Schizosaccharomyces pombe: one gene and its partner. The gene in region 2 interacts genetically with the main gene of each other region. Each region holds a gene or a part of one and is shown on either strand. Other genes may lie near its edges.

Region 1 (5,828 bases), 2.3 Mb from region 2:
CATTTTTTTCAACTTTAGTTTTCATCTTTTTTGCTTTTTTGAAGGGTTTCCTTCTTCAGAACTAATATCTCCTTCTGTAACACCTTGATAAATGGGAGTTGGCTGAGTTTCCGAGTACATTTTCGTGAACATAGGATTTGATTTTGCAACGTCAGCATATTTGAGAAGGGCCTCACGAGGATCTTCATTAAGCATGGTTGCCAAAGGAATGTCATCGACAGAGTTTTCTTCTAGCAAGCGACCAACTTGAGGCTGCCGAGAAAGCTTAGGATCTTTGCGTACTGCATTGCGCCGACGCCGTGCTTCCAAAAAATAAGCTGATGCGGATTCAGTCGTTTCCTCTACAAGCCCAAAATCAGAAGTTCCAGCGGATCCACTCAATGAGTTTATATGCACAGTGCTAGATAAGTCGTCATCAATATGCTTCGACTTAGGAGGGCGCATTGCTGCATCCTTAACTCCTCGTATGGACTCATTAGGCGAAAAGAGAACATATGCGTTGCCATCAGCCGACCCCAAAGAAACCTGATTTATTTTTTCGTTCCAAGAGACAGCTGAAACGGAAGCAGTAACCGTCGACTTGGAATCGAAGAATAACGTAGCTTTCGTATCTAATGTCATTGCGTCTAAAACGAATAAAGGTGCTTTCATGCTATTGACAGCTGTAGAACCAGCAAGTATAAGCTTTTGGGTAGGAGAAAATATTGCGTTGCCTCCAGCTTTAGGAGTTAAAATGTCTATACGCTCATTCACACATTTATTAGAATTTCGCAAGTCCCAAACACGAAGGGCATTGTCTTCTCCTCTACTTAACAAATAATTTCCGTCCTGTGAAAAACTAAGACAGGAAATACCTTGTTGTGGTAAATGTGCATCCTTAATTTTCATAACAGGTCGTTTAGTACGAGAACCCTTTTGCCAAAATTGTATGGATCCATCCAGTACAGCAGTTGCAAAATTATCGGGTTTTGCTGGATTCCAAGCACAACTTGTAACTGGTATACGAGACAGTCCGGTGTGAGAACCTTCTGGTACATGGACGAAAACTTCCAATTGCGATTTTGTGCGATTAACATCCCAAATACGCGCAGTACTATCATACCCAGTAGTTAAAAATATTTGAGAGCTATCAGGCTGCCAGCAGCCATCAGTAATTTCAGCTATATGTCCTTTTGTATTGTACATGTTACGGATATATTGATCTCCCTTACTAAACCGTACAATCAACGAGCCATCACGGTCATATAAAATCGGCTGAGAATGGGTATACAATGCAAGGATTTGGTTTTTAGTAGAGCAACTTAATTTGCTCACTGGATAACGACCAACATTGTCAGCATTTGTGTCTGTAGGATCGATAATTTTGAAAGGATGAGGATTAGTAGCAGACAAGCCATTTAAGTCCCAACAATGGATTGTGTTGTCCAAAGATCCGGTGTAAAAACGTGACCCATTTTTGTCAAACGTAGTAGTGGTAACAATCTTACCAAAAATTAGTAAAAATGTAGTAAAAGCAGAAAACTACAAAATCAACTTACCTTAGAATGTCCCGGAAACATAATTTCATGCGAACCTGGTACGCCAACGTCCGTAATGTCGTCCTCATTCTCTTCGCTATCCCAATCCTCAGAGTCTGAGGATTGTAAAGTAGTACTCTTTGAGTTGAGTTTTGATTCGGATTCTTTTTCTACACTGTTTATCAAAAAGCTTTCTTTCGGTCTTATGAATCTTGCAATTAACGCATTTATATCGTATGTTTGTGCTTGCTTGCCAAACTGTAAGGGAATTGTATTATTTGTGCCATCCATTTACGAAAATCTGGATATTGTAAAATTTTAGAGGCTGATATATTGTTTCCCTATTATTTTTTTCAAATAGCCATTTAACTAACTGACAACAAGTTGTTCAAAATATTTTGTAACGAAAAGTGCAGGGTGAGAAGTTTCAATTACTGAGTTGTGGGGTGTGGCAGCACTACGTACTTCATTCTACCCAAGTTAGCGATTTAGGCTTTGCTAATTGATTTATCTCCTAAGAAGATTACATTGAAGCTTACGAGGAGTACATATTTTCGTTGCCGCTCTAAAAATAAAGATTTATAGCAGTGTGCATATTCTTTTTCTTCAACACACAGTGATGCCGAATCATTTGAATTTCACGGGGTTGATCGATTTTACCTACAAGTTGCATTAAAAAAAACTGATAAGATTATAATTGCTTTGGGATTTAATAAAGGTTTATGCTTTGTGTTGTATGAATCTGCATGGACTAGAATGTAAGTGAAAATTTCGGTTTATAGAATATATGTTAACGTCTACACGTTTCTAGTACCAGGAAGGGATCAGAGGTTAAGCCCTGAGGTTATTGACCTAACCGAAGATATAGAAGATGACGGTGCGGATGTTTCAGAAGTTACTTTGCTAGATTTAACGAGAATACCAGAGTTCCAGCCTCGTCGAAGGATTCGTACAAGCCGTAACCACCTTGACGCTAATCTTTCTAATGTTCCAACTATTAATTCTATTCCTTCTCCAGTCACTCGACCTCCCGTGGCTGTTGGAGGGGGGATATTCTATGGTGCACGAAGGACTAGAAACAGGTCTCAAACCCAACGGAGAACCCTTCTTGAAAATGGGTTTCGAAATTCAAGAAAAAAAGCTCAGGATTCATCAAATTCTATCGCCGAAAGGGTATCTCCTCCACCTGGGTTTTGTTATGATGTCCATCCTCATAATAATATTGCATGCGCAAAATGTGGAAATGAGTTAGTAAGTGATGAGAAAAAATCCATTTTTGCTGCAAAGTGTGGACACTTATTTTGTTCTACTTGTGCAAAAGAGTTACGCAAGAAGACTGTGCCTTGTCCGGTGCAACATTGTAGAAAGCGTATAACCAAAAAATTTATATTTCCTTTATATTTATAATTTATCGATTGGATACTAAGTGTTATCCATAGAGGATATTTGGCGGTTAAGTAATACGCTGGCGATTTTTTGGAACGTTTTGTTTTGCTTTAATAACCAGTAATGGTTTTAAAGGATACGAGTTTTTGTAATGCTTATAAGAACTAAGGTGCTCTATTATCCTCAATGAAAAGATTTATTCATTATTGACGATTATTTCCCCTTTTTTCAATTATTTATTCCCGTCTTCGAGGCTATCACACAAAAACAATTGCTTTTCTTTCTATATTGATTCATCATTTTTCGTACAAGGGAAATTAATTAGAGCTTTTCTTACCCTAAAACCTTCTACAAAAAACAAATCTGGATTCAATCTTTTCAATACACTATTTAGATGAGTATTATTTGGGATACTAGGAATTCTCGTAATGTTCAATTTCATGTTGAATTTATTTATTTACTGCAAATTAAAATATTCTTCAGCTAAAAATCTTAGTATATTCAAGGGAGTTTCCTGAAAGAGTTTTTTCTGAATTTCAAATATACAGTAATGTTTGTTTATAATTTACAGTATCTAATCGATTCAAGTATTTAAACATTGTATATATAATATATATATACTGCTTAACGTACTAAACCCACAGTGTGCTACATTACGTTACTCATTGCAGCAAAGATTATGAGCAGTTGATTCAAGTGCTAACCATGTTCCAAGTGTAAAAACAGAGACTTTGCTAGGCAATTTAGGGAAAGAGATACGTTAGCAGTGATTTGACACGCTCATTAATATCATAGTATCACTTTTCCGTTTCGGTCATTCTAGAGTTTTATTTTAAAAAAGCCGAGTTTCGTTGATTCTTGCTTTTGTGCTGTACTTGCACAGGGCGTTATGGAATCGACATTCCATTCAGATACTCTCGATTCTTTTCCAAATTATCAGGAAAATAGTTTAAACACTAATGAGGAACAGACCAATCCCTTAGAATCGTTAAGGGATGGATGGGCTTCGTCAAACAGTTCGTCTTCGTCGAGTCTTCTTCTTCCAGACGAAAATGAGGGAAATGAAGTCTTTGGAAGCTTAAAAGGGCTAGTTACCCAGTCAAAATTTGGTCAATGGGCTAACAAATTAAGCAAGTCTTTGCAAGCAAGAAGACGAAAGTCTGAATCAATCTCAAAACCCCGAGTTTACTATTCAGTGTTCATGGCTCCTTCTTGGGTTTTGCATGCAGAAAAGCATTGGGAGGAATACCCCCATTACGCTGGATATGATTATAAAGACTACGTTCGACTCCTTGATGCTACAAAGGAAGCAATCGCCCACGGCGTTTTCCCGGTCCTTATTTCCAAGGGGTCCTCTGGATCTTATTTTGTGAAAAATAAAGTCCAAAAAAATATAGCTGTATTTAAACCCAAAGATGAAGAACCGTATGGAAAGCTAAATCCTAAATGGACGAAATGGTTCCATCGAAATTTATTTCCTTGCTTTTTTGGGAGAAGTTGTCTAATTCCGAATACTTCGTATCTTTCAGAAGCCGCTGCTTGTGTTCTAGATAGAGGTCTGGGTTTGTATTTAGTTCCATACACGTCTGTTGCATCAATTTCTTCTCCAACCTTCAATTATGATTATTTTGCACGAAAAGCTTTTCTGACAAGGAATAAGCCTCTTCCTGAAAAGACTGGATCTTTTCAGCAGTTTCTTGATGGTTTCGTCGTTGCATCCAAGTTTTTTGCTCAACATCCCTGGCCTGGTACTCGACATAGAGAAACCCGAGAGTACACGGAGTCTGTAGCTTCCAGCGAGGACTTCGACATTTTCGATCCTTTCTTAGCTGAGAACGAAATTGAGACCGAATTTTGGACCGAAGAATTACGCCTTAAATTCCGGTTTGAATTTGAAAAACTTGTTTTGCTCGATTATTTAATGCGTAATACAGATCGTAATTTGGATAACTGGATGATCAAGATTTGTTACGAACCCTGTGATAATGAAGAATATTATAAATCAATTAATCTTTTATCTACGAATTTAACACCTAATATGTCTGCGAACTCGGTAGACCCTGCTATTTCCCAAACGTCGGATTTTTGGAAGGGACCACATTTTCAAATAGGAGCGATAGATAATTCGTTAGCATTCCCTTATAAACATCCGGATTCTTGGAGGTCCTTTCCTTATGGTTGGCTCTCTTTACCACGCTCCTTATTTACGCAACCTTTTACAGAGTTTACCAGGCAACTCTTTTTACACAAGTTGACTAGCCGAGAATGGTGGGAAAAACTAAGTGATGATTTACGAAACGTATTCAATCAAGATTTAGATTTCGATGAGAAAATGTTTTCGCGGCAACTTTCACTTGTAAAAGGGCAAGCCTACAATATTGTTGAAGTTTTAAAGAATCCCCTCATGAATATTTATGATTTACTTGAGCTCCCTAATTTATATGTTGTTGAGGATGTTGTTCGTATCGAAGTAAATGAGCCAACGTCTGCGAATTCTGAAGAAGCAGAATTTGGTTTACCAATTAAACGAGATTATGGGAGTATTTTGCACCCTTCATGTTCACAAACTTTCCCTCCTTATCCAGGAAGCCAATTATTACAAGCGACACCCGGTCGGTCTTTTTCGTCAAATGCTGAAGCACTTCTGCCGTTAAATTATATTACCCTGTTGTCCAAAGATAGTTCATCTCCAAAAATGTTAAAGGATGTAATTTTTGAAAGACTCCAGTGTGCTTCTTCCAATGCGGTCTTTAGCACGTGTTAATATAAGTCTTGTGTAATAGTATGCTACTATTTCCGAGGATTAAGTCTTTGAAGGTATCATATGTTATTTTCTCGCCTGTTCTTTCTAAGTTCCTTGTTAATTTAATTTTTCCATCATTTTATTGCTACTTCATTCTATTTTATTAATATTAGTTTGATGTT
Region 2 (7,814 bases):
ATTTGAAAATTTAGCACAACAGTATTTTACCGATGGTGTAGAGATGCGCAGTGTTCGTAAATCCTCTGATTTACGTCGCAGCTTGAGTGCAGCCAGCCTTTCTAGTCTTTCAGATAGCTCTAGAAGAAGTTCATCAGCGGCGAATCCTTTTCAGAGCATGAGCATCACGGAATTTGCAGAAATGTTGACGAATATATATTTTTCATCATTGGAATGTCTGCGTCGCATTCGCAGCCAAATAAAAGTTTTAATAGATATTTTATCGAAAAAAGATACTAAACAATATCACCTATCTGTGATTCTTAATGATTTAATGGCCACGAGTTCCGATGTTGTTACACAACAAGTGACAACTATTAATAATCTTCGATTTCGAGTCTTGGATACTTATCCTCCTAATAATGTTATATACCTTTTTTCTTTACACATAATTTTTCATAATGAGCTTGAAAGTCTTTGCGGAATCACACAAAGCTCATTTATTCCAACTATAATGAGGCAATTACTGGACTGGTTTAAAAATTTTCAACGATATTCTACTCAGAAATTGGCATCAAGCTTTGAAAGGGAGCTATGGGAAGCGATACCTGTTGAACCATCCTGTCAAGATCTAGCTAATCGCGTGTTTGAATGCTCCGGTAATACTCCCGTAGAATGGACGCGACTATTATCTCCTGAAGCAGAAAAAGAAGATGAAAATCATAGGGTTCACCATGTAAAAGTTTCAGAGGACTGTACTGCTACGGTTTCGTTTGGAAAACAATCATTACATATTGTTCGGTCCTCTGTTACGTTGTTAGAAACATTGGATGATTATGGTAAACTTCTTGCTCACTTTTCAAGATTGGCTCCAGAGTTTCAGACTGGTATGCTAGATATGTTTCGTACACTCAATTCTCGGGTTTATCAATTAATATTGGGAGCGGGGACAGTGCGGTCGTCTGGCCTTAGTAAAGTACTTGGGAAGCATATTGCACTTGCCTCTCAAACTATCGCATTGTTTCAATTATCCCTTAATTCAATGTGCAGGTACTTGTCAAGAGTAACAGGAACTCGACTCACCAATGAAACTAATAAGTTGGATCAAGATTTCACCGTTCATCACTTACAAATTCATGATAAGTTTGTTAGTCTCATGAGGGAACGAGTTGCTATCAGTTGTTCCCAGATTGCTTCTCTTTCGTGGGATATTGACAGTCCTCATGGATACATTATTGATCTTTCAAAAAGTCTTATAAAGCTCTACAAAGTTTTACATCGCTACTCACAACGTGACTGTGTAGAAGTAATACCAGATGTAATTCGGATGTTCGAAGATAGACTGCAGTTGGAACTTACGGATATTGCAAGAAATCCATCCAAATGGCCAGGCGTTCGTATTGATTTGTCCTATTTTTATGACATGATGGCATCTAAATGCGGATATGCAGGAGACCGGACTTTATTGGAAAAATTTGAACGTACTCCGGAACAGCAGGAAGCGGCTTAAACATTTGTTTCGTCGTTTTTTGTAATCTATTTTAGTTCTTTTCTTGACAGGTATTTTGGTTATCTGCTTTTGTGCTCGAGTTACCGTCATATTCTTTGGAATTTTACATTTTGGTTTAACAATTTACTAACCTGAATGAATTCTAAGAATCCAAAAATTTTGTTGCAAGTTATGAACCAAGCAGCTTCTCTATAAAATTCTCCATTCTATCGATAGTTCTAGTATTCACAATGACGAATACAAATTCACTTATGACTACTAATCGGCCAGTTTTGATTTAGAGTATTACTCATTTAATTCGGAAATCTCATGGGAGCGTAATGTTTTCGACCGATTTAATTTCTTTTCATCTTCTCTCATTTATTATTGTTTTTATCACCTTTATTCAATTCCTTATGAAAATACTCATAATTGATTTAAGTGTATCAGTCAAATTCCTTGCTATATTGAGTAACTTGTTACTTTGGTAGTAATAGATTAGATATATTGGCTTGCACCTAAAGCCTGAAGTAACCTTTTCAATCTTTTGGTACAATGAAATTAGGCAGATTTTTAGAAAACGGAAGGGAGCAAATACGAAATCTCCTCTTAAATGCTTCGACTGTATCGTCTGCCCCGTCTTTTAGCTTTGTTAGTGGAAATGAATCAGCAGGTACATTAGTCGTAATAGACGAGAATTAACAATTCGTCTTAGATCTTGACAGTTGCGCTAGTTCAATCGTATATGCGTATTGCCTGCAAAGAAAACAGCTGGGTAGGATTGTAGTACCTTTTTTTAACATTCCTCGAAAGGAGCTACGTCTTAGGCCTGAACTGTCTTATTTGTTGAACTTAGCATCAATATCTTCCGATGATATTGTCTTTTTAGATGATATTGTAAAATTACCAAAAAGAATATTCAGTAATCCTATTTATTTAGTTGATCACAATTCTTTGGACCGTAAAGACCTAGAAAATTTCAACGGCAGTATCGCTGGTATTATAGATCACCACAAAGATGAAGGGGGATCCTTACATGCTGATCCAAGAATCATTGAGGAATGCGGTAGCTGCTGTACTTTAGTTTGCCGATATTTTATGCCTGTCATTAGATCTCTATATGATTCCAAAGTATCTGAACTTCACCAAACAGCAACCAACCTTGCTGTTTTGGCACTTGGCCCTATTTTAATTGATACTGGAAATTTAAAAAATGAAAAGACTACTGATACCGATGTTAAAATAGTAAATGACTTATGCTCATTTGTGCCAAAAGATTGGGTTCGAGATGAGTTTTTTGATACTCTGAAAGAGAAAAAGAAGAGCTGTAAGGGTTTTTCTTTTGATGATCTACTACGCAGGGATTTAAAACAGTATTTTCCGGACGGAATAGTCGTCAATTATGCCAGTGTTGGAAAGGGATTAGATTGGATCAAGAAAAAACGTCTCGGATGGGAAGATGAATTGAAAAGTTTTGCCGAAGTGCAAAATTCTGATTTGGTAATTGTTGGGTTATCTCTGAGTAAGAACGACGAGTTTGGTCGTCAATTGATTTTATACAAGCGTACTGAAAGGGGAGCTGGTCTTGCCGATTCTTTCTTAAAACTTAGCAAACAAAATTTAGGATTAGAAATTATTGAAGAGAAAGATAATGGCGACCTCAGTATGTGGAATCAAAGAAATTCCGCTGCTAGCAGAAAGAAAGTAGTTCCCTTACTTATGGACTCAGTTAAACAAGTCGCTTCAAAATAGTTACTGCTTTAGACTCCATTGTGATTTCTGTTCTGTACATTTTACGATAGCTACACTCATCAGTAGGCTTATGATAGATTTTAAATTTTTTTAAAAGGATATATATTATACATCACATTGATCTAAATTTCTTACTTTGTAATCCCAAGATCCTTTTATTCAAAAAAATCACTGTCATCTGATTGATTATTTTGTAGTTCATCGTGGTAAATAGACTTGTTTGAAGAACTCTCTTCTTTTAATCGGTCGATTGCTGAACTCTTGAGCAACCGAAATTCTAGGAGTGAAGTTTCAAAATCATCTTTATTACCTAAATCAGCAAATCCGATAATCTTATCCACGAGCTGAGAATTTACGTAGCAAAGTACGGCTGGTAATACTTTGAGACCCAATTTGACTACCAAAAATGGAGCGTTGGCTGCTTCAATACGGATAAACTTAGTTTCCCAATGTACTTTGGCAATTTTCTGAGAATGTTAGCGTAAGCAATAAATGGAACTCCTCGTACCTCTAGATGAGAGTCTATAATTTTGCAACGTATAAAATCAGGGTGGTAAAAATGTATAACAACTTTTTTTGATGAACTAAAAAATAATTAGTTTAAAATAATCGAAGCTAATGTTTTGACATACAGCGTAAAATCCATAACTTCGCGCTCATTTTCTACAGTAAGAAACTGCATGTGTCCTTTTTCTTTTGCAGCTTCCACTCTAGCGAATCTGAACGGTTAAATTCTTAAAATCATTTTAAAGCTTTTTCTTACTCTTTTTTTAGCATCTCCAATCTCTGTTCTCGATAAGCAGTATCATCAAATTCATCCAACTGTGAAAAGAGCGCATCTTCCAATTCTGAATCACTTTCGGTTGCAGCTTGAGTAGCATACGTATCAGCGTAAAGATCAACTGTTGGGTCGTTACTAATGTCAACATTAGACATAATATGTACGCTACTGTAACCTACCTATTATGCAGTTCTGGTTCATTGTAATCCTGAGTATCCTCCTTTCTTTCAGTAACCTTCAAAGCTTCATACTCGTTGGCGATTTCCTTTTCCAAAGGAGATTTCATAGAAATCCAAGCAGGCTTGTTTTCTACAGGCTGAACGTTTGTCAAATCCATTTGATAACCACGTTTACGCGGCCCAAATCCATGGGATGCTGGAAAAGATGTCATATAAATTTCTTCAAATTTTCTAACATCTTCATCAAAGTTTCCCTCTTGTATGGAGGCGCGGATTCCTTGAAAAAAGGCAGTGAAGGCATAAACATTGTGTCTACAAATCGTTAGCTTTCTTTACCATGCTCTTTAATATAAACATACAGCTGTAAAAGTATCCAAGCAACTAGCTCTCTAGCCTGTAACAGATGCCTAACATAAGCGCGTTTGTATCTACGACATGTTTTGCAAACGCAGCCGGATTGCAATGGTTCCATGTCAGTAGCAAACCTTTCGTCCCACATATCCAAGCCAAGTTCAATTTTAGAATTCAACACATCTTTAGAAGGAGGCGGGAAAGAGAATGTAAGTGCAACACCAGCATCAGTAGCTTGTGTTATCATATCTGGAACAATAATGTCAATTCCTCTTTGAATGCATTTCAGAATTTCGAGTGGTGATTCAAATTTTTGAATACTCAGTCTTGGGAGACCAACCAAATCAGCTGGTAATGGATTGACATTGTTAGAAAATGCCAAGCCAGCAATGTTGTTAGCAAGTTGATTTTCTTGAAAAAACTGGAAAATAGGCGTAAGGTACTGAGTGTCCAGATCAGGAACAGGGAAAAATACTTTAGTAGTATTGAAAGCGTCCGTCGCTTTGAGTGCTAAAAGCAACTCAGTTGTCCAATTGACAGACCGTTCCACAATTTTTGGCTTCCTTTTGACACCAGGAGGACTAGTTGGGGTATCATTTAAAGGAATTACTAATTCAGGACAAAGCTTTAGGACAGCTTTAATATACAAGTCATTTGTCAGTTTCTTTGCACCACTTGCAGTAACGATATTAATATGACTTTGTCCTGCAGAAACAGATGGCAAAGGAGATGTTCTTCTTGGAGCAAGTAAAGTAGGTTGGACAGAGGGTGCTGCGATCCATTTTTTGATAGTTCCCTCATTAGTCAAGATTGGTGAGGCTTCCAGACGATCCAAGCTACAAACATATTAGTTAGAAATTCAAATTAAAAAAGATATGATAAAGCATTTGAGTCCTAAATTTAAACCTTACCAATCCTCCAACCCTACATAGAGAGCAGGAATATCGAATTCTTCAACATTGTCAGGTGTCAAATGAGGAACAGTTCCTCTGGAAGTAGGAAGGAAAAAGCAAGGAGTCTTCAGAACCTTGTTCTTCACCGTAACTGAAGATACGCGAGCCCCTGAAGGACTAGATAATGAAGAAATTGCCATCAATAAATCGCAAAATAAAGCTGCAAAAGTTTTGCTCTATTTACACATGTACGATATCAAAATAACGATGGTTCACTGTAGCACATTAAACGAATATTGCTATATGAATGTTTTTTAAATTTGAAAGATATTCAAACACAAAAGGTCGTCTAAACATTCGATTTATAATGTTGTAAAATAGCTTTGTTTGGATATCAGTAGTCTTACAAAACTGAAAGTTTTTAGTTAAGTAAAAAAAAAAATATCATTACATAAATTATAGTAAATTGTTTAGACTTTTTTTAAAGTTTTAAAGTAATAATAAAACATGCAAACAAGAAAGAAACAATGGAATAAAAACATTAATAACGGATAATTTTGCGACGGCGGAAGTCCTTTTCATCTGAAGCGATGTCATATAACGCTCTTCGTTTCATTTCTTTTTTCTCTTTTGTTCTTCGTTTCATTTGCTCCATCTCTTTCCTGGTATATCGCTTGTTTCTCCGTTCTGCCAGTAAACTTTGGCCATTGTGACTATTCAATGAAGAATTGATGTCAAAGTACTGTTCCATATGCTTATGTGCTTTGTTTTCTTCACTTCGCAACTCTGGTGAAGCCCATTTTGGCATAAACTTTCCAGATAGGCGATTGAACTGAACTTTCGCTGTGTAATCTAGGGGACTAGTCTGCTCTTCATCTTCTAACGGATTATTCCAGCTCGTCGTATTTGTTAAAGTGTCCCAAAAATAGTAAGCCTGTTGAGAAGGGTCCCAAATAGCGGCTATCCGATGACCCTCGGACCAAGCAATGGAAGGCTGTGCTTGGTTTTCATTTGTAGGGGAGTTAGAAGTATCATTTTTTGATGTTTCGGAAACTGTTTCGTCAGATAAAGGAGATTCTTTATGGCAATTTGTTTCAGGAACTGGTTCATTTGGTAAAGGTGGCTCCCCTGGTAATGGTTCCTCAGGAACTGGTTCATCTGGTAAAGGTGGTTCCCCTGGTAATGGTTCCTCAGGAACTGGTTCATTTGGTAAAGGCGGCTCCCTTGGCAATGGTTCCTCAGGAACTAACTCATTTAACAAGGGCTTTGATGCTTCAGAGGTTGGTTCATTTTTAGAAATACTCTCCAGATTTTCATATGTTTGAGTTGATTCAAAAGTGTTTTTAGGAGTATTTTCAGAAATAAATGAATTATCGGCATCCTCTCCAACTTGGGTATAATGTTTTCCTTGAATATTGGAGTTTTCGCTATTAGAACTGCTCGTATTCGATGAAATAAAGTCACCACTGTTCACGTTTGATGCAGGAATTGTTTGATCGACATTGCTAGTAGCTTTGCAATCTTTAGAAGACGACATTTTTTTATCAGTATGAAGAAATAATTATTATACAAAATACCGGGGACATTCAATTGCACATAACAAATAAATGGGATTTACAGCACAAAAAATAAGTACTGGAATGTAATCTAAATGGCTGAATTAAAGTAATTACAAGCAACACTATATGTTGCTGCTCTGGCGCAAGTTAACAACAAAAATTAATATTTCTGAATAACGTATCTTTGCGAAATACCACGAGTTCTAACTATATCTACTTTAAATGGATTAAGGCTCCACAGTGCGATTCAATATAACATTAATTAAAATGCACTTGGCCTGTTCATTGATGGCCAAAAAATTAAATATAATTTGGTGAATTTAACTCCTATATAAAAGTTTTGTTTTTTCAAGCCTAAGGATATCGTTGAAGCTATTGCTGTGGATTACCGATGTTAGACTAAATAATAGTTGACACCAATTCGATTTATTAACAGTTTATAAACTTTCTCCCTACATAGTCTTCTTTCTTCGATAATTACTTTAACACATATAAAATGGAATTGTAAATATACTAAACGAAACGATAAGACATAGCCAAACTATGAAGGAATTATGCATATAGCATTTGAATAAATTAAATACTGAAAGCTAAAAGAGCTGCTATAGAGTACAAACTCAGATTCTTATATCGCACCTGTGATGAATAAATGTTTGAAGAAGCGATTTTTATTAACGAAAATATAACATAATAAAAGAGCTTATTTTTTTTGCTTTGCTTTAAGATATTAGAAGTACTCTACTTTTACCCCATATTAAATGTTGAATAAGAAGATATGGTTTTCGCATTTGAAAGCACAACGTCCATGTCTTTTCGATTAAGATTCATTAA

The links. A genetic interaction does not mean that the proteins touch.
Region 1: mutations in ppx1 (region 2) and rfp2 together harm fitness less than expected from each alone (positive genetic interaction), as found in Schizosaccharomyces pombe (one large-scale study listed by BioGRID).

Annotation. Positions count from the first base shown.
Region 1 is NC_003424.3:1,678,161-1,683,988, forward strand, and holds rfp2 (SUMO-targeted ubiquitin-protein ligase subunit Rfp2), read left to right. Parts: upstream 1-2,007; 5' UTR 2,008-2,253; coding exon 2,254-2,275; intron 2,276-2,328; coding exon 2,329-2,924; 3' UTR 2,925-3,311; downstream 3,312-5,828. Other genes in the region: wdr70 (WD repeat-containing protein), read right to left, coding at 22-1,482, 1,539-1,808; 1-phosphatidylinositol 4-kinase Lsb6, read left to right, coding at 3,793-5,667. UniProt on the Schizosaccharomyces pombe protein: Mediates ubiquitination and subsequent desumoylation/degradation of sumoylated proteins and proteins containing SUMO-like domains. Involved in maintaining genome stability where it acts in the cellular response to DNA damage.
Region 2 is NC_003424.3:3,944,555-3,952,368, forward strand, and holds ppx1 (exopolyphosphatase), read left to right. Parts: upstream 1-2,000; 5' UTR 2,001-2,023; coding exon 2,024-2,141; exon of another isoform or gene 2,142-2,183; coding exon 2,184-3,220; 3' UTR 3,221-3,375; downstream 3,376-7,814. Other genes in the region: GARP complex subunit Vps54, read left to right, coding at 1-1,489; plp1 (thioredoxin domain-containing protein), read right to left, coding at 3,376-3,687, 3,729-3,804, 3,853-3,939, 3,984-4,136, 4,181-4,392; qtr2 (queuine tRNA-ribosyltransferase accessory subunit Qtrtd1/Qtr2), read right to left, coding at 4,503-5,367, 5,443-5,624; splicing-associated factor Saf2, read right to left, coding at 5,966-6,961.